Linked DNA regions of Pelodiscus sinensis. The protein of the gene in region 2 purifies or fractionates together with the protein of the main gene of each other region. This does not show direct contact. Links are inferred from orthologs where the notes say so. Each region holds a gene or a part of one and is shown on either strand. Other genes may lie near its edges.

Evidence for each region. The genes of interacting proteins can lie anywhere in the genome.
Region 1: the proteins of ACTL6A (region 2) and MORF4L1 purify together in Homo sapiens (affinity purification with mass spectrometry; 6 studies listed by BioGRID and IntAct, with this or other methods). This does not show direct contact. The link is inferred for Pelodiscus sinensis from reciprocal best matches to the Homo sapiens genes ACTL6A and MORF4L1.

What each region holds. Positions count from the first base shown.
Region 1 is NC_134724.1:1,222,375-1,232,465, forward strand, and holds the start of MORF4L1 (mortality factor 4-like protein 1), read left to right. Parts: upstream 1-5,472; 5' UTR 5,473-5,567; coding exon 5,568-5,607; intron 5,608-8,787; exon of another isoform or gene 8,788-8,802; coding exon of another isoform or gene 8,803-8,833; intron 8,834-10,091. UniProt on the Homo sapiens protein: Component of the NuA4 histone acetyltransferase (HAT) complex which is involved in transcriptional activation of select genes principally by acetylation of nucleosomal histones H4 and H2A.
Region 2 is NC_134720.1:44,785,061-44,795,022, forward strand, and holds the start of ACTL6A (actin-like protein 6A), read left to right. Parts: upstream 1-6,136; 5' UTR 6,137-6,270; coding exon 6,271-6,295; intron 6,296-6,618; exon of another isoform or gene 6,619-6,714; intron 6,715-8,140; coding exon 8,141-8,217; intron 8,218-8,396; coding exon 8,397-8,571; intron 8,572-9,006; coding exon 9,007-9,107; intron 9,108-9,962.

The sequences.
Region 1 (10,091 bases), on a different chromosome or scaffold from region 2:
CTGAAAGAGCATCCGGGGGTTGCTGAACCCTGCTGCCCGTCATTGGGGGTTGCCAATCATAGACTAAAATAAGACAAGATTCAGTCCTCTGCAGATGGCCAGGACAAGGGCTAGGTACCACTTCTACCTTGTCTTAGATCTTTGCAGGGCCTGGATTTCTCCAAATGCCTGGAGGTGGGCTGCATGGTAAAAAGGCAGGGGAAGAGCCCTGCATGAATACAAAATTGGTATCTGCATCCACGTTTGCAGATCAGGATATGGATACCCACGAGTCTATAGCAGATCTCCACAAATGTGCAGGCTTCTAGATACAAAATTGTTTTACATGTCTGTATCTGTATCTGCAAAAATGAGCGATGGATATCTGCAGCCACATCCAGGGATGTGAATACTTGCAGCTATGAAGTGGATAGCCACAGATTTGCGGGGCTCTAGGTATGGGATTAGGTGGGGTAGGGAACAGATATCCCACAATCTGACCAATGCAGGTGGCAGTAAACAAAAGCACTGGCCATCAGCTATTCAGAGCACGCTGGCTCTCCTGGAAATATCTGAATGATTTCAAATACAAATTCTTAGATCTCTTAGGCCTAAAATACAAATAAGAACCATCCTCCTACAGCCCTTTAGCTGTATTACCACCAACATAGCTGTAAAGCACCTTTTATTGGGAACCCTCCAAAAGCACTTTACAAGTCGATGAACAAGCTGGGGATGAGCAGATCACCAGGCTTACCTGAATGACCACCAGGGAACCGGTTGGTTAACCATCCCTGTTCAAACCCTGATACAGGCAGCTGTGACACGCCCACAGAGACCCTGCCCAAAGCAACCCCCTCCTGTGGTGGCCAAGACACTGGGCCCCAGACCCCATGGGAGTCAGCATGGAGCAGCTCCCACCCATGGCTGCCCATCTGGCCACTGGGACCAGCTTGGAGCAGCCCTCTGGCCATGGTGGGCCTGGCTGGAGCATCCCCCAGTGTGCCTGGCGGGCAGGCCCCTCCCACACATAGGCAATGGGATGGCAGGCTGGGCTGGACCCTAGACTCAGCTGCTCTGCACCAGCTCTCCAATGGTTAACTGGTTAAACAGCATCTTTTTAATACAGGGGTGGCCAGCCTGTGGTTCCAGAGCCACACGTGGCTCTTCAGCAGTGAATAGGTGGCTCCTTAGGTACCAAATCCAGGGATGGAGCTACAGCTGCCAACTTTCCACTGGGCTGTAGGGTGCTCTCTGTTCCACCCCCAGCTTTGCCCTAGGCGCTGTCCCCCTCCAACCCTTTCGCCTAGGATCCTGCCACTTCTTACCCTCTCCACTGAGCCAGTCACACCCATGCTTCCCCTTCCCAGTGTCTCCCACTGAGAGAGCTTATCGCAGTGGGCAGGAGGAAAAGGAGGAGGCGGCACTGACCGGTGGGGCTGCCCATGGGGGGATGTGCTGAGAGTGGTGGTGGGGAGATGAGCAGGGCTGGTGCAGGGCCGGACTGAGGCATGGGCTAGCTGGGCAGCTGCCCGGGGTGCCAACTGATGAGGGGCGCCTGATGGTAGCTGTAAGGGGCGCGCGGTGTCCCTTACAGCTGCCATCAGGCGCCATGCGCCTGGCTCCCACAGTGCCGGCACCACGGCGCCAGCCAGCAGCTCCCTTCCCCCCACGACCGTGGGGCCCTGCACTGCCCGGCGCATGCGCCAGCAACACTAGCCAGGCTGGGCTGGGCAGCGCATGCGCCATGTGCCCCGGGGGTGGGCCCCGGGCTGCGCACCAGTGGCTGTGGCCAGCCCATGCATGCGCTGTGCACCCCAGGGGCAGGCCCGTGCTCCCTGGGAGGGCCCCACAGGTGGGCCCGCACATGCGCCGTGCACCCGGGGGCAGCACTGTGCGCCCGGGCCCGGGGTGCCAAAAGGGCTCTGGCTGGCCCTGGGCTGGTGACACAGAACTGTGGCTGTTTGTCCATGTGCAGTGGTACATTCTGGCTCCTTCTCAGGGTTAGGTTGGCCATCCCTGTTTTAAGTTTAACCTGTTATCTATTCTATGGGAATTTACATTTCTAGTACAAGCTGCAGGTTAACAGGGATCCATTACTGAAAAGCAGTCACCTCTGGTGTGAAGCATGGTAGCTGGCAGTGTGTGTGTGTGTGGGGGGGGGAGTACAGCAAGACACACAACATTTCCTCACTATGATTAAGGGAACTCCTGCTTTCCAGCCATAATCCATTATTGTTGGATTCTAGAAATCAGCCCCCAATAATCAGCGTGTGCAATCAGGAAGATGAGCACTAAAATCACGGCACGATGCACACTGGGGTAGTTTAGGCCCCCAGCATGAAAAGTTAAGGGGTAGAATGCTCAGCTCCGGCCAGCAGGTATGCTAGGTAAGGGGGTGGGATAGAGAAGGGGAAACTCCATATGTTTTCATAGCATTTTGGACTTGTAGTCCCTGAAGCCCTCCTTAACCTGCCCTTAGGCTCTCTGCTTCCAGTTCCTTAGTGGTGATGGGAGAGGGGAGCTTCAGGGTGCCTCAGCCTGAAGACCAGCGTTCCTCAGTGCAGAGAGAGAAAAGTGTCTATTTCCTGCAGAGCTGGTGTCTTTAATTCACAGCTGGAACTTTTTTTTTTTTTTTTTGCTGGTGTGGGAGAAAAATCAAATAACTCCAATTGTGTCTAAGGGGGGACTGTGCAGGAAATCAAAACTCTCTAAAAGAAAACTGCTGTAAGGGTTAAAAGTTTTCCAGGCCTCTCTCCCTGTAACAGAGAGAAATCATCTTAACTCTAATCAAGACCCTTACAATTCCTCCTACCTCAAGTTCATGGAGACTCCTAGTCTGTCACAAATTGCCATGTAAACTCTTATCTTTGTCACAGTTTGCCTTGTAGACTCCTCACTCAGGTTCTCATGTGCCTTTGTACTGTAAAACTTACTTCTAGCACTTCTGGTGTGAACAGAAACCTCACTTCTGCTGAGACTTTGATATGTTAAAGAAAACAATCAACAACTAAACTGTCTGAGCATACTGTATAAAGGATCCCTGAACCTGTCTCTCAGGGCTGCTGCTGCTCTCACTCTGGTAGCTGTCAGCCTGCATGCATGCATAATAAAGTTTTCCTTCTAGATTTCTCTCCTGCCTCACTGCTTTGACCTCCAGCCTCGGACCCTTCTGGGGGTTCTGTACCCCAGGGGAGTGAGATTTCCCCAACACTGGTTTAATCAGTCATGGTATATTTTGACATCACTGGAGTCTATGGGCAGCAGCAGGAGCAGTGAGATATTATCTAGTAAAACTGTAAGGTACCGAACACAGGGTGCACCCAGCACACTGCTAAATCTGCCCACACAGCCATCAACCCCTGGATATTTAATATCTTAAGGGATTTACATTTACTTGTGTCAAACACAGCTCGGTGCCAGGTTTAACTGGCGGGCTTCATTTTTTAATATTTATTGAAAATATTGAAAAGATGAAGCACATACACCTGTGTAGGCGAGGCTTAGAGACCATCAACATCAATTAAAGTCTCCCCAGGATTTCAAGTCTTGTAACCTTTAAAAAATAGAGATTAGATGAGGGGAGGCTGCACACAACCACACTCATCCATGGGTATGGACTTTACAGTCACAGAATTTTGCACCTGTGCTTGTGAATGGCCAAACCAGCAGTCCCCAGGTCCCTACAACTTATTATCTAACTGATCTCACATTTGTGTTGGTTAATATATGAACACTCTGATCATAGCTCACCCCATGTTCAAAATCTGAATATTCTTAATCCAATGAACGTGAAAATAATAACAAAAGCAGAAGTCTAGCGGGGGTGGGCCTGACGTGGGTGGGCCATGACACACTTATTTTTCATCCAGGTCCACCCTGCTCGGGCATAGGGGCTGACACACCTGCGCCTGGACTAGGGTGCTGGTCTGACCTCACTCTGCTAGCACCCCAGCCAGCATGCGGGGGTTTTACCACCCCAATCATTACCCACCCACCAGAAGGTGGGGCCACCCCAGCGGGCCCTTCTGGTTAGCCACTGAGAAGCACAGATATATTGTAAGAGCAAAGGGGCTCCACCGGGTGAACATAAAGTTTTCAATTTTTCAGGCTTGACTGGGAATTAAAGCCATTGGACTCTGAGGCACTAGTAGGGGTTTGTGCCTGAAACTGGGAACTCTTCAGCAGCCTGAAACCTGGCCCTGCTGGGATGGTGCTATAGGTCGGTCTGCACAGACAGAAGGTGAATTGGAATCGAATTGTTCACAGGTGGGTCCTAGTTTCATGCACCCTGCTGTCCAGAAGGAGAGTTTGCAGGCGGATTAATTTTTTAAAAGAAAGCTGCTTCCTTGTGTTTTGAAGAAGAGAGAAGAGGAAAGCCATCGCTTGCCGGTTGGTTTTAAACACAGGCAGCAGGGCAGCTTCAACAGTAAAACATGGAACAAAATGCCTCAGAGAGGTTTCCGTGGTAGTCTGTCGCTTTAAAAACAACGAGCAGCCCTATGGCACCTTAGAGACTAGGAAACACAATATAGCATCATGAGCTTTCGTGGGCACAACCCATGTGACAAAACAGCTTTGTCTCCACATTTTGGCACAAGTGCGGCAGCGGTTTAAGTGAATTGCTTGTTCTTAGGAGGCCTATTGATGGCTGGGCATGGTGTGGACACAATCCGCTGAAACAACAGGGAGATTAACGGGGCTCCTCTCCCAAAGTGCCTTTGTGGAAGCTGCATGAACGTCCCACACCTTGGCCACCCATCCCTTCCCAGTGCCCATTCTATGCCCCGTGGCATGCTGAGATCCAGGTTGCAGCTGGCCACAAGGGGGCGTTTGCAGGGGATCCCTTGCAAAATGCAGGAGACAGACACTGGTAGCAGTAATCCAGAAATCCCTTTAAGCCCTGTTAAATCCTTTGCCTAAAGCCTCACATTGAGAAAAGCTGCATGAGAGAGGCATACTGTCAACTGTAGTACCAAACAACTCAAGCTTCCAAGAGCCCGGCTAGCTCAGTCGGTAGAGCATGGGACTCTTAATCCCAGGGTCGTGGGTTCGAGCCCCACGTTGGGCGCAACCTTTTTCCCCTATACTCCCAGGAGAACGTTTTTCCATGCAGCTCCCTAGACTCCCCCAGGATCGCGTGGGGTCCTGGGCTGGCTTGCTAGGCGTCTAAGAGCAACGCGGACTCCCCAGGCTCGGGCAGGGGGATGCAAACGAAGGGCCGCTGGCCGGGGAGGAGGAGTGATGGGAGAAGCACACGGAAGGGGCTCAGGCTGCAAAGGCTACAGGGCGCGGGGGAGGGCCCGACACAGGCCTGTGCCTTGTGCAGGGAAGGGCAGCGCGCAGCCCTCTGCTCCGAGCCAGGGCCGGGCGCTGGGCACAGCTGGCCACGGGACGCCCCGGCCGGGCAGAGCGCACGTGGCGCTGCAGGGAAGCCTGGGGCCGGCCCCGCCCAGGACTACAAGTCCCGGCATGCCCGCGGCGGCGGGAGCATGCGCAGAGGCGCGGGGCTGGGCGCTATAATGCGGTGGCGCTGGCGCGGCCCCGCCGGCAGGGGAGGGGTGGGGAGGCGGGCGAGGCTCTTATAAATGGCGCCCAAGCAGGACCCCAAGCCCAAATTCCAGGAGGGTGAGTGCGGCCGGCGGGGCGGCCTGGAGCGGGGGGAGGAGGGGGGGGCTGTTGTTGGAGCGCGGGCTATTGGGGGGGAGAGTGGGGGGGCTGGGGGGGAGGATAGATGGGAGATGGATGGATGGGGGAGGAGGCTGGCTGTTGGGGGGGATGTGAGGGGGGGCTACTGTTGGAGCGCGGGCTGTTGGGGGGGCTATTGGGGGGCTGGGGAAGGCGTGCGGGGGGCTGTGGGAGGGTGGGGGAGGATGGGTAGGGGGAGGGTAGGGGGGTGGCTGGCTGTTGGTGGGGGAGGGGAGCTGGGGGCTATTGTTGGGATGGGGGATGGGTGGGTGTGGGGGGTTGTTGGGGGGGCTGCGGAGCATTGTTGGAGCGTGGGTGAGGAGTTTCTTTTGGTGGGGGATGGGAGCTGGGGACTGTTGGGGTGGGGGGTACTGGTGGGGCTGGGGGTGCCATGGGAGGCTGGCTGGGAATGGGGCTGGGAGCCCTGTGGGAGGCTGGAGAGGTGCAGGGGATGCTGGCTGGGCTGGGGGTGACAGGGTGTTGGGGTAGTGGGGACTGGGAAGCTGATTCTGTGGCCAATCCATGCTCCAGTAGTTACAAAGCTCTGGGGTGTGGACCAGAAAAAAGGCCCTTTTTAATCTTCCAGCTTCAGTCCCTCCCCCCTATCTCTGCAGTGGGGGAGCGGAGGGCTAAAAGGAAGAGATGGTTCTTTGAAAAAAGGCAAAACACAACCTCCTCACCCAGTTGCTTGTAGGTGAAACCACTGTCACTATCTGTGCTTCACACAGCTTGTGTGCACTGTGTGTCTGAGAGAGTGGTTTGTGGGCTGCAGGGTTGAAACACGGCCTACGAGGTCAGTTATGACCCATGGAGATGATGTATCCTGGCAGGTTGTGGTGAAACAGAATGGCCTTTCAGTTTAGATCTAGGTGCATGGTTCCCTGCTGGAAGCCATCTCCTCCAGCTACTCGATTGGTAGCTGCAGTATAGGTACTCCATTTTACAGAGGGCTTGCAGCTTCTTGGCAGTCTTTCAATGAGGCCCTCAGTTAAGCAAATTTGGACTCCCTTGTGTGGTACCTGAGGGGCAGAGGGCTTTTAGGATGTTCCAGCTCCCTTGCGTGCAGAGAATTAGGAAATGGCAGTGGTTTCTCTTAGATAATTCTCTTGTTTTTTTTCCATACTTCTCAATGCTCTCAGCTCACCCAGGAGACTCAGGACTTGTTCCTTTGTTTAGAGTGTGCTTGACTTTTGTCTTTTTCATCGGTGTGTGTCAAAGCATTCTGATAGATATCAGTGGGCATTGAAGCCATTGAAAGATTTTTTTTATCAAGTTGGACTGTCAAGATTTTCCTTTCTTGAGGTTGAGAAGTATGTTTACTTCATTACTTAAATTATTTTTATAAGCTCGCCCAGTTGGAGATCTTGTATCTTGTCTTGTGACATAGTCTTTATTAAATATGGCTTAAGGATATTGTAAACTACAGTATGCTGATTATTGTGGTGATGTGCAACACTGTTATAACTATGGTGATCTCTGTTCATAACAACCCCCCCTTTTTTAGACATAATATTTTAGGGCATGACTCGACTACAGAATTAAGTTGACCTTATTTACGTCGGCATCCAGCAGTTGCAGTAATTACATCACTTGTGTGTGTCTGGTTTCTTCTGTCAGTCGTGTGTGCGCTCACCAGGAGCACTCGTACTCATTGTACTATCAGTGTGGGGCATTGTGGGATGACTTCTGGAAGCCAGTAATAGTCACTATAAGCAATGCACTGCTGATGCTACATCCATGAGAAGCATAGTTAGGCCAATGCAGAGTGAAATGCCCTGCTGTGTTACCTTATGTTGTCTAGATTAGGGCAAAATTTTAGTGTAAACATGTGCATAGGCTGCCATAAGCTGCCGTGCATTGAGATAATGGTAATGCAGACCAGGCCTTAATTCTCATCAAGCTGAAACATGACATACACTTTTCATGAAAGATGCAACTTACTCAATAAAATCTGCTTTTAAAATAGGTGGTGTTTTTTAGAATAGACAAATGACAACTGTAAGGGTAATATTTAAATATGTAATTTGAAAGACTAATGGGTGTTTTGAATGTACATGTTGAATTGTACTCGTAGATATGGGAAGTGGTATTGTTTGTGCTGATGTGACTTTCTGGTGTAGTGTGTAATATGCCAGTTGGTTTTTTATTTTAGCTTTAGAGAAGCTGACAGCAAGTGGTCTTTAAAAATTTCCCCTGGATTTAGCAGTATGTATTTGCTTATTTAAAAAAAAAACAGATTTAACTTGCAAAGTTGTCTTTTGCCTTGTATCTTGTCCATTCTGGATCTGGATCCAGCAGATGGCATTTGATTGAAACCCTTCAGAAGTCAATGGAAAGATTTCCCTGGGAGTCAGACCAGGTCCTTAATGAATAATACATTAGAATTCACCTTACACATGTAAAACTACTGCAGCATTAAGCATTGAAGCCCCAATCCTTGCAACTTGTGTTTTGTTGTTGTTTTTTGCTTACCCATTCACATCCCTATGCCAGATAACTGGTTAACCGTTACCCAGGAGTGGCCAGCCATGGATGGAGGGCTGCTCCAGCCCCATGGGGCTGCCAGCTCTGGGAGTCGTCAGCCTCTCATGGGGTTGGGAGGGGCAGCTGGGGGGGAGCAGCTGCTTTCGGCCCAGCACAAGGCTGCCAACTCCTAGCTTGCGTGGCCTGGGAGCCAGCAGCCCTCTCCACCTCCTCCTGACTGCTGCTTCCAGCCCCAGACAAGGCTCCCCACTCCTAGCCCCTGCAGCCTGGGAGCCAGCAGCCCAGAGTGGGACCAGAAGCAGCTGGGCTGGAGTAGCCCCTGCACATGGTGTGGGGGGTCACTCCAGCCTGCCCCCGTTTAATCAGTTAACTGGTTAAATGCTAAATTTAACCAGTTAACTAATTAAATGGGATTTTTTCATTCCTAATCTGGAGCCCCATGGAAGCCAAGATTGTGCCATGTGGGCAGAAGAACTTGCAGGCTCGGGGATAGCTCTAGCTTAGGAGCTAGGAGCAGCATTGCTAAGCAACAAAAACACTTGGCATAGTTAGGTATTCAAGAATATTGACAAAGCATGTCTGGTTATCTTTTCAGAGCTGTTTAGACCCTAGTGTGCTCCAGTCAAAAATGTCTGACTTTAGGAAAACTGAATGCAGGGGTCCCCTGTAGTGCACCTTGTGGGTATGTACTATAGACATACAATTCAGAATTGTTTTGATTTAAGTTGGCGTGGGGAAGACTCCTGTAAACTTTTCTAATGTGTTTTCTTTGAGTATGAGTGTAGGTGATGGGGAGAAGGTTTTTGTCAGTCTTTGATTTCTCAGTAGTGAGGAGTCCTGCAGAAATAGTGCCACAGAATATTCTTGTTGTATTTATGTAAAGAGTCTAACTCTCCTTAAACTTAGGCAGCTCATTTTTCAGAGCAAATAAACAAGGCATGTTTTCTAGTGGTGTTAACAAGCAATGCAAAATAGTCGTGAAATAGTGTAGTCATTTTAAGTAGGTGTTTTGCATGCTGAGTAACTGGCTTTAAATTAAACAGAAAACCTTTTAAAATAAGTTGGTATTTCCACTGTGCAAAAAATATTGCCTAGAAATATCAAACCGGTTTTGGTAAGCTGCTTTCATACAGATGTTCTCTTGACATAATTTTGCACAGCAAACTATTTTATCTTGGATTTGCTGTCTTGTCAATGTATCTCTTTTTCTGACCCATTTTGAGCACGAAATCCTGCTGGTTATTTGTGGAGTTCACTGTAAATCTGTTTTATCCTACCACTTTACTGAATAAGGGAATAAATTATTAATTGGAAAAGTGACTTAGTAAATGTATCACTAAATATTTGGTGCAGTATTAAACCAGCTTATTTTGTAGGCATAGAGTAAGGAAAGCTAGAAATGCCCTTCTTGCAAAAAGAAGGGATTATTGGTTTCTCAAGCAGTGGACTGTATCCCCTGTAAGGCTGTGTTTCTCAAACTGTGGGTCCCGACCCCCCAGGGGGGGTCACGGTATCACAAAGTTTGAGAGAACCCCTGCTGTAAGGTATTGGTAAAGCTTAATTATTTTGGTATACAGGGTGCAATCTTTGTTATAAGAACTGAGGGAAGATGTTTCCTCTTGTACAGTACTGCCTTCTGTTAGATAAATTAGACTTCCGCTTTGTAAACAACTGCAGAATAAGGATTTTATAGCAGCTGAAATCCTGATCAAAAGTGAAACAACTACTTCCCCCTCAATGCCCTCATTCAGCTGCATGCTTTTCTTTGGGGACGGGAAGTAGTTGACGTCATTATAGTCAGTTTTCTTTAGACAATAGAGGTGTCAGGTCCTTGGTTTCCTCAAGGAAAAGGACAAACTCTTATTTAAATAAGTCTTTTGTTCCATAACTTGGAAACAAGACAGTAGCATGGCTGTGTAAGAGAGCATGTTCCCTTTCAA
Region 2 (9,962 bases):
AATTTACCGAAGTTACTCCAGGTTCACTCCAGCATAAGATCAGAAGTTGTCCAAATAAGATGCTATGGCCTGATTCTCAGCTGCTTTGTAATTTGTGTAGCCATTTACAATTACGTAAAGTGAGTGCAAAACTGGGAAAAAAATCTACCATATCAGAAAGACACCCTCTTTCCATAGTGTAAATGACTACACAAAATGCTAGGCAATGTAGAATTAGACTCTATGACTCTGGCCAAAAGAATTTAAAATCTAAATACCCACATACAGAACTGGATTATCCAAACTGGCTGCAGAGCACTCAATTCAGATCCAAAATTGCAGGCTTTTTATCTGTGTTCCCCCAATCCTAGGGCTGCCAAAGACTAGCCTCAACTCCCAGGCAAATAAAAGCAGTGTTTAATATGTATTATCAGTGGCCATTTCTGCAGCCAGGGACCAGCTGGACATTCCCCCCCCTCCCCGCAAAGACACATGCCTTTTCCTCCTGCCACACCTCTCTGGCTTGCTGGTATGAGACAGAATGACATAGGAGCCATTTTGGTGGCTCTTCACCATCCAAGGATTCCCTTATGATGGAGCAATAATCTGGGAATCGCTAAACTGGCTTTATAGTTGCTCAGCACTAGCAGCGCAAGCAGCTGCTGTGCAGTCCAGGATCTGCTCAAAGAACGGTATACTTTCCACAAAGCATTATTTCAGTAATAACCTTGAAAGATAAAACATCTAAGGATAAATCCTTTGCCATTACAATTTCACATTTTCTGAATTAGTCTCTTTCTTGCAATAATCTCTTCCTCCTCCAACAACCCTCTCTTGTGTACTAGTGCCACATGCTGGAAATTGTGATAATACACCATCAACAAAAGGTTTCGTAAGACCTACAAAGGGTGCCAGGTAACCTGATTTTTCATCCTGCATTTAATACAAAACAGGATTTACACTGATCTTCCTCATTTCAGTATCTTGTACGATTTGCTAGTTTACACACTTTTGTTAATCTAAACAGTGGTACATATAACTATGTATTTCTTCTCAATGACAGCAGGATAAGCTGAAATTCTGAAAGAATTTTCCCTACTAAAGAAACAGAGAAAGAGAACGAGAATACATGTTAAATGAAATCAAAGGAATAACTTACCCTTAAGCGCTAGCACATCCAACCATCTCCTGGTTCCCTTGCAACACTGGGGTTGTTGTTTTTCGTCCGAGTTGTCTCCTATTGCTCGGTTTTAATATTTCCTCTGCAATTCAGTGTCGTTGGTGTAGGAGGAGACTTAAATTGAAGCTATCAATCACCAGCCCACCCTTAGTGTGCAGCAGGCTGGGAATTGTAGTCCAAAACCACAAACATACAGCTTACATATTTTCAGACTTACACTAGTATAAATTGGGAGTAATTCTAGTGAAAGAAGAATCTGGCACATTACAGTTAGATTCTCTTTGTTCCTTTTCTTGCTTCACTGATTACAAACAACATTTTGTTGAATTAGAACATCTTTCACATAGGTGCAGGGAATGCTACAGCACCCCTCGGGTTTTGCATTTGTCTTCCCTGCACTTAGAGGCCAGCCCTGCTGCCAGCTCCTCCAGCTCTCGGTCCCAGCCTTTGGGAAGCCCCCATGGGGTCCTGCTGGCCCCATGAACTTTGCCAGTCCCTTGGGATTCTGTTACCACAGGCTTTTCCAACCCCCCAGGGTCCCACCGGCTCTCAGGGTCCCGTCACCCACTGGCCTCATGAGCTCCTCCAGCCCTCGGGATTCCACTGCCTGCTGGCCCTGCCACAGTCTCCACAGACCGCTGGCCCCGCCAGCCACAGGGTCCCACCACTGGCCCAGGACTCTGCAACTGCTCCCAACTGTGGCTCCAACGGTGAGGATTGTCAACTTTCCCAGACTTGATGGACCAGATGCCATTTGCAGCAATGGAATCCAGTCCATCTGGTCCAGAAGAATTGGCAATAGGGATGTAAAATCCTATGTAAGTAGTTAACCGCTTAACCAATTAAACGGGTGAATGGGTGGGAAGGCACTTCAGTCCAGCTGGGACTGGGGATGCTTCAGCACCTCTTGCCCAAGGCAGGCCTCGCAAAGCTAGAGCAACTCCCTGCCATTCACATCATTAGTTGGCAACCCAATCTCAACAGGCCAAAAGGGGCAAGGGAAGGGGCAGCTCAGCACCCCCATCCCAAATATAGTTCCGGGGCCACAGATCCTTTATCTGGAATTTTTATTGTATTAAAGGATTTAAGGGAAAGTTTTTACAGGTGTCCACTTGAAAAAAATGCATAACTTATGTATTTTGATGGACAGCGTTAGTACTAAGTAGTTTATGATAATTAAGTTTCATGCCACTCTGGGTAAGTCTGTACAGGAAAAAACATCAGTGGCTGGCCTAGGTCAACTGACCTTGGCTGTAGGGGTCAAAATCACTATGTAGATGTTGGGGCTCAGATTCCCAGGGATTAGGCTCCAGCTCGAACATTCATGCAACAATTTTTCATCTCATAACCTGAGCCCCACAAGCACAAGACAGCTGACCTGGGCCAGCCACAGCTGTGCTATAGATCTTCTATGTTTGTGCACATGTACCCTCTAATGCAGTAGTGGGCAACCTGCGGCCTGTGATCTACACATGGTCAATCAGCATTATTCACTGGCAGCACACGAGACATTTTGTTGATTTGACCCTTTGCAGGCACAGTCCCTCGAAGCTCCCAATGGCCACAGTTTGTCATTCCTGGCCAATGGTACCTGCAAGAAGCAGTGGCCAGCATGTCCCTGCATCCCGCAGCTCCCATTGGCCAGGAACAGCAAACCATGGCCACACGGGGTTGGGGAGCCTGTGCATGCAGATAGTCAACACTGGTGTAGCCCAAGGTCCAGTGTGCTTCAGGAGCAGCCCTTGGAACTAAAAGCTGTAGACTATAAACTATGACATGTTGGAGAACTTCCTGGTTCCTGCCATGATGTACCCTCTGCCTCCCAGCAGGGCCTCAGCACTGACTGAGCTGGCAACACGTAAGCTGCAAGCAGAGAAGAGGCTGCTGTACTGTAATCCTGTTCTTCGTACTTTACAGAATTAAGCCTGTTCCTGGTGGTTTGTCTGAGTGGGTCTGGTCTGAAGAGCACACACACTGACACGTGATGGAGAATGCACAAAGGAGCCTCAGGCCTAGTCTCCCAGAGTTGTGTAAAAAGTCACACAGCTTCCCCTATGTTGAATAACCTCATACTGGGATAGCGGACAGGAGGGGCTACATCAGCAACATGTCTCGCAGCCCCTAGTGGAGTATTCTGATGTGCCAGGTACAGCCCACAGGCCACATATTGCCCACCACAGCTCTAATGTTTTCCTCAGGGCAAAAGGTCAAGAGACGCATATTAAAACATTTAAAAAGTTATATTTCTACATAAATAAACTATGTTTTATTTATACAGTGCAAGAAATATAAAAAAGCACTTTACAGGGAAATATAAAGAGAATGGACTAAGTCCTGCTCTCAGTTACACTGGTGTAATTTTTAAATAACTCTACAAACAAAGTGAAGTTACTCTGAATTTACCCTAGTATAAATGAGATCTGAACAAGGTCCAAGATCCTTGCCTCAAGGCACTTACAATCTAGAATCAGGCAGAAAATATAATCAAATGGCAGTGTACTTTGAAAAGGTGGGGTTAGCAAAAGAAGAGCTAACAGCATCCTTTGAGGCTCAGTTTCCTCTACAAAATGAAGCTTACAGTTTTCTTGGATCTCTTACTTTCATACTATTGTTTCTAAATGTATGAATGAATTAAATATCACTCAATGAAGGATAGCCAAGGAAGTGATTTTAAAGGAGAGATTTAAATATGAGACATATCACCCTCACATACTTTTCCACCAAAATCAGAACTTCCACCAAAATCAATAAGAACAGTGCACACGTATGTGAAAAGAGTATTCAGCCTTATGTATTTTACATATGATCTGTGGTTAGCCAGTATCTGATCTTTGTATTAGGATGCAAAAATTAGCTATGTGCTCTATGTAACTTTGAAAAATGGCATTAATTATTCTACAAAGGCCCTAATCAACCAGTTTAAGATTTCTCAATGGTCAATATTATGCAAATCATGGGATTGGACACTTGGAATTTTAGGCAGATCTACCTATCTAGTTCTCTGGCTCCTGAACTCTCCAAGTCCCTTTTCCTTTTCATCAATTTCCTGTTTTCCCTCCTCCACCCCATTCCACTTCCCTGCTCACTACTTAGTCCTTCCTAACTTTGTTTTCTAGCTCTCTGTGCTGTGTTCTATGGCTTTACTGGCCAAATGCCAGGGCAGATACTAACATCTCCCACCCCTTCTTTCTCTGCCAGAACAATCCAGTGAGGATGGCAGTTTAGTAACAAGCAGGGGAAAGGAGGGAATCAGATGAGCTCAGCCCAATATCCAGATTTTGAGGCAGGAAGTTTGAGATGCCAAGGGACCATCACTGGGTTGGGAGGATATAGGGGGTGGTGGGAAGGTACAAAATTGACAGGGGCTTATACAGATTTTATTCCATTGGAAAAGGAGAACAGGGAGCAACAGAAGAAAGAAGACTCAGGAAGGGAGGTAAACTGGATTGGGAGGGGTACTTGAGAAAGGGATATTGATGGTAGAGTAGCAAGCACTGAACTCTGTAAAATGTCATGCATGTTTTATTAGAGTGACAAGGTGGGTTTTATTAAGCCAGCTGGAGATGATGAAAGACTTTTTTCAAGTCTACACAGAACTAATTTCCAGGCCTAGGAAAGGTACTCAGAAGTTTGATTCAAGTGAGCTGCTTAGGCAAAGTTTGTAACTTGCTAAAGTTAGACTTTAATCACTAGCACATTATTTTGTTTTGTTTGTATCTGTAACATACTAGTCTCTCTTTTCCTAGTTACTATCACTTACATCTCTTCTTAATCTCTCTTTTTCATAGTTACTATCACTTACATCTCTGTGCTGTTACAGGCATATATCTTCAGCTGCATTAACAGGCTGGTATGCATTCTGTCTCTTTGGAGAAAGCAAATTTAGTAATTTCTGTGAATAGAGAATGGACACTACAGAAAAACAGCTTGGGGGAACTTGAGAACTGGTTTTCAAGGTTACCTGCAAGATAAAGGAAAGGTAAGCAGTGTTACTGGTGACACCTGGTGTGGCAAAGACCTAACTCATGTCCTTTGAACTCCAGTGACGTTCTTTTGCTGAGGCAGAGAGGTAACTCAGCAGCTTACTGTTCAGGGTATCCCAAGAGCATCCCAACACTGCAAAAACACTTTCTTTTTTGCATTTTTCCCCTCGGGCCTTTTGTTACCCTGATGAAGATCAGGTTTGGCCAGTTCTCAACCCCTTACTTAAGGCAATCCCAAAATACCTTTTTCTAGGCTCCCTGCACCATCCTGCCCCAAAATACCCCACCTAACTTCCCACCCTAAAATGCCTCTCCCTAACTAGTGATAGAAATGTAGCCGTGTTAGTCTAGTGTAGCTGAAACAAAAAACAGGACTATGTAGCACTTTAAAGACTAACAAGATTGTTTAATTTGTCCTTTTCATATGTGTTCATTTTTTTAATTGTATCCTTTGGTATATATGGTTGTGACAATTTTCTTCCACTATTTGATCTGAGGAAGTGGGTCTGGCCCATGAAAGCTCATCACCTAATAAACCATCTTGTTAGTCTTTAAAGTGCTGCATAGGCCTGTTTTTTGTCTCCCTAACTACAGTCTCAAAGCATCCCTTGCTGGCCCACAAGCCCCAGCCTCCCCCCAAGTCTCTCCCTAACCCCCAACAGCAGCCAACCCCATAGCACCCTAACCAGCCCCCCAAGTTCCTTCCTAACCCCCAGCCAGCCCCATAACACCCTTCCCCGGCCCCCAAACATCCCTCCCTAGACCCAGCCTCCACACCCTCAGCCCCACCTACCCCCATGTCAATCAATTCCTTGCCCCGTCCCCCAACCCCAACCTCCGCTGACCCTGCACACTGCAACCATACTTGCTTCCTTCACTCTTTTTCTTGACAGGGATAGGTTTCCCGCTGTCTCGGCCCGCCCCCTGCTGGCCACGATTGGCCGCCCGCTCTCGGGGTTGCGGGGGCCGGCCGGCGCGCTCTGTTGGTCTGAGGGGAAAGCAGCAGCAAGTTCGGTTGAGCCGGCGGGGCGAGTGAGCGCGGGCCGGAGACTCGCGCTCGCTATTGTCAGCGAAAGTAGTTAGCGGGGGCTGCCGGGAGCGGGGCGCGAGACAGGCCCGGCGGCAGCCATGAGCGGCGGGGTGTACGGGGGAGGTGAGTGCCCGCCCCCCCCGCCTGTGAACCCCCCCCAGCCCCTGCCTGCTGCCCCCCACGACCGTTCCCCACGGGCCTCTCTGCCCCCCCCCCCCCCAGCGCCTGCCTGCTGCCCCCCAGCACCTCCGAGCCCCTGCTGCCCCTCACGGGCCTCCCCCAGCCCCCGCCTCGCCCAGGGCTGTTCCACACGAGGCTTCCCCTAGCTGCCCCCCCTCCTCCTCCGAGCCCCCACAGGCCTGCTGCATCTCCCACCCCCTCCCCCTACAGGCATGTGCTCTAGTCTGTCCATTATTTGTGCGTGTGCTGATGCCGCTTCCCCCTACCCAGGAGCTTCCCATGCAGCCCCGCGTAATCCGGCCACGTTCCCAAGCCTTGAGCTTCCTTGCAATCGATTTGCTGCCGCTCCCTGCGCTTCTTCCCCTCCCCAGTTATTTGCTGCTCTTCTGGTCCATAAAGTGACAGCGTTGCTAAGATACAGCTGTAATGCTCCACCCATGAACACCACCAGCATCGTTCTTCCCATCAAAGCTAACAACTCCACTCAGCTGCGGTCGGAAACACACAGTGCTTCCCTTCAGTATACCTTGCAAGTTTTCATTAAAGTGGAAGGTCTAACTAGTTTGAAGGTCGTCTTAGTTTCTAGAATAGTGATAGAAATGTAGCCGTGTTAGTCTGGTGTAGCTGAAACAAAATACAGGACTTTGTAGCACTTTAAAGACTAACAAGATGGTTTATTAGATGATGATTAGACCACGAAAGCTCATCATCTAATAAACCATCTTGTTAGTCTTTAAAGTGCTACATAGTCCACAAACATCCCGCTCTCCCTACCTCTAATATCATCAATTCACAGACACTTACCTTCCTTCCTCCCCCCCCCCCCCCGCATCCCCCTCCTGTTCTGCAATGTGATTTGTCCTTTTCATATTTGTTCATTTTTTTAATTGTATCCTTTGGTATATATGGTTGTGACTACTTTCTTCCACTATTTGATCTGAGGAAGTGGGTCTGGCCCATGAAAGCTCATCATCTAATAAACCATCTTGTTAGTCTTTAAAGTGCTACATTGTCCTGCATTTTGCTTCAACTACATAGTCCTGTATTTTCTTAGTTTCTGTCTTTGGTAAATTTCATTGTGGCCTTTTCCGTTTGTTAGATCTGTAAGGCAGATTAATGGTGTAAGGCAACATTTGGTGCTGTTACTTTGGTGGGAAATTCAGGTTAGCACGCCATCGAAAGATATATTTGGAAGCCAAGATCTTGCACCAGAGCATCTCCTGTAAACAGTGCTACCAAAATAATAATAATAATTAGTATTATTAATAATTTTGCTAGGGTCCTGACCCCGTTGAGCCCATATGGAGTCTCTTTACAGATCAGTACTTAAGGGAATGGATGTATTTCTTAAACATCTGTGTTATAGACTGTCACATCTAATTCTAATTATTTTCCTGTTTAATTTCTAATAATCCAGGGAAGTGTAGGGGGAAGTATAACTTTGTGAGTAAATCATAACACATTCTGAAAATCACTTTACCAGTTATGGTTAACTGGTGGACTGGTGCAGTCCCCTGCCTGCTTAACAGGGATTTTGCATCCCTAATTTTGAATGAAAGTACTGTTTTATTGGTTATTTACTTAAAATACAATGGCTTTTTTGGGGTAATTTTTCTGCAATTAATATTTTCAATTGAAAATATTTTGTTCTTTGCCAGCTTTAAATCCTGGTTAAAAGTTGCGATGGTGGTTTGCACTCACGTTTAACAAAAAGTGTGTTGGCTTGTATGTTTTTGCTGATAAGCACAGAGATTTTATTGCCTGCCTATTTACTTCTAATCCTTACAGATGAAGTTGGGGCTCTTGTTTTCGATATTGGTTCCTATACAGTGAGAGCTGGCTATGCTGGTGAGGATTGTCCAAAGGTAAGAGTCATTGTGATTAAATGGTTTTTTTACGTATTCTACGAACCACTGAACAAGTTTTGAATTTGTAGACATTTTTTTTAAATGTATAGCTGAAATGAAAACAGTACTTTGTTATAAGTGAATAAACAAATGCCCACTCTGCAGTTGCCATACCTGGTCCATATTTTACATTGCAGGTTGACTTTCCCACTGCTATTGGTGTGGTACTGGAAAGGGATGATGGCAGCACCTTGATGGAAATAGATGGTGACAAAGGAAAACAAGGAGGTCCTACTTACTATATAGACACCAATGCACTGCGAGTTCCAAGGGAAAACATGGAGGCTATTTCACCCTTAAAAAATGGAATGAGTATGGTGCTCTGTCTTTTTCTTCTTGTTCTTAAAATCTGATCACTAACTTTATATTCAGCTGCAAAGTTTTATCTGTCACGGGCAAAAAAATATATTCAATTTTCATTAATACTCTTGGTCCAAAAATGAAATGTTGTATTTAAAATGGTTTTAATTATGAGGTCTGATCTGAGGAAGAACTATAGAGACTTTCCTCCATGTAATGAGCTGGAATGGGTCCCACCTGATAACGGTGGTGGGGGAAAAAGAAGGGGACGAATGTAATTGGTAAGCAGCATAGAACTTTATGGAGCTGCTGAAGTGTGTGAATTTTTAAGACTGTTGTTCAGGAGATGGTTGATCTATGTGTTTTAAAGTTATGTTTTTAGATGACTCAATTAACTATGTCTCTTTTTGAAAATGGAATAATATTGTCTAAACGTCATTGTTACAGTTGAGGACTGGGACAGTTTCCAGGCAATTTTGGATCACACATACAAGATGCACATTAAATCTGAAGCAAGTTTGCACCCGGTCCTAATGTCAGAAGCACCAGTGAGTAAAAGCATATTTCCTTCTTTGAAATTTTATAATGAATAGATTGTCATTGGGCTTTAGAACTCTTTTAATCTTGTTTTTACAAATTTTTTACAGAATTGTAAGTTAGGAATTCTGAAATTTTTAGAAAAGTAAGAGGTAATACCTAGAGGCTTGCTCTAAGGATGTGTTAGTATATCTCTTTAAATGTTTAACTGATGAGCCTGGGCTCATCAGTTAACCCTCACAGTTACATGCAAGGTTCTGTCCCTTCCCCTGATGCTGCCTCTGTATCTGGGTCAGGTAGCTCCATGGGAGCAGGTGCTCGCAGGAAGCCAACTCTCTGCAAGCACTGGCTTCTGCCTCCCCTCCTTGTGCTGATATAGAGGCAGCAGTATGGGGAAGGGAGAAAATGGAGAGGGGCAGGCAGCTTAAAAGCCAGCTCCTGGCGCGTCCCTTATCCCGCGGAACTGCCTTCCCCCCACCCCACCCAATGTGTAAATGCTGAAAACCCCTTTTTAACATCCCTACCTTGCACAGATAAAAAATTTGCATTTGAATCTAAGCCACAAACATGGCGCACAAATATAAAGTGGCTATGTGCAGATTTGCCAGTCTTGAGAGTTTACAGTTTAAAAATACTCTGCTGGATTATTCTCTGCATTTTATTTTTTGTCAGTAACTTGAAATGATGGTTACTTTTGTGATACAGCACAAAGTGCACACTCTCCTCTCAAATGGAGATCACAAATTTCAAGATGGATTTCTTCTTAGAGCCTTTGTTTTGTAATAAGCTTCTCTTCTTGGGGAGAGTGGTGGAAGTGTAAAATTGTAGGTGAACTCATATTATGTTAACTAAAAATAGAGATGTTT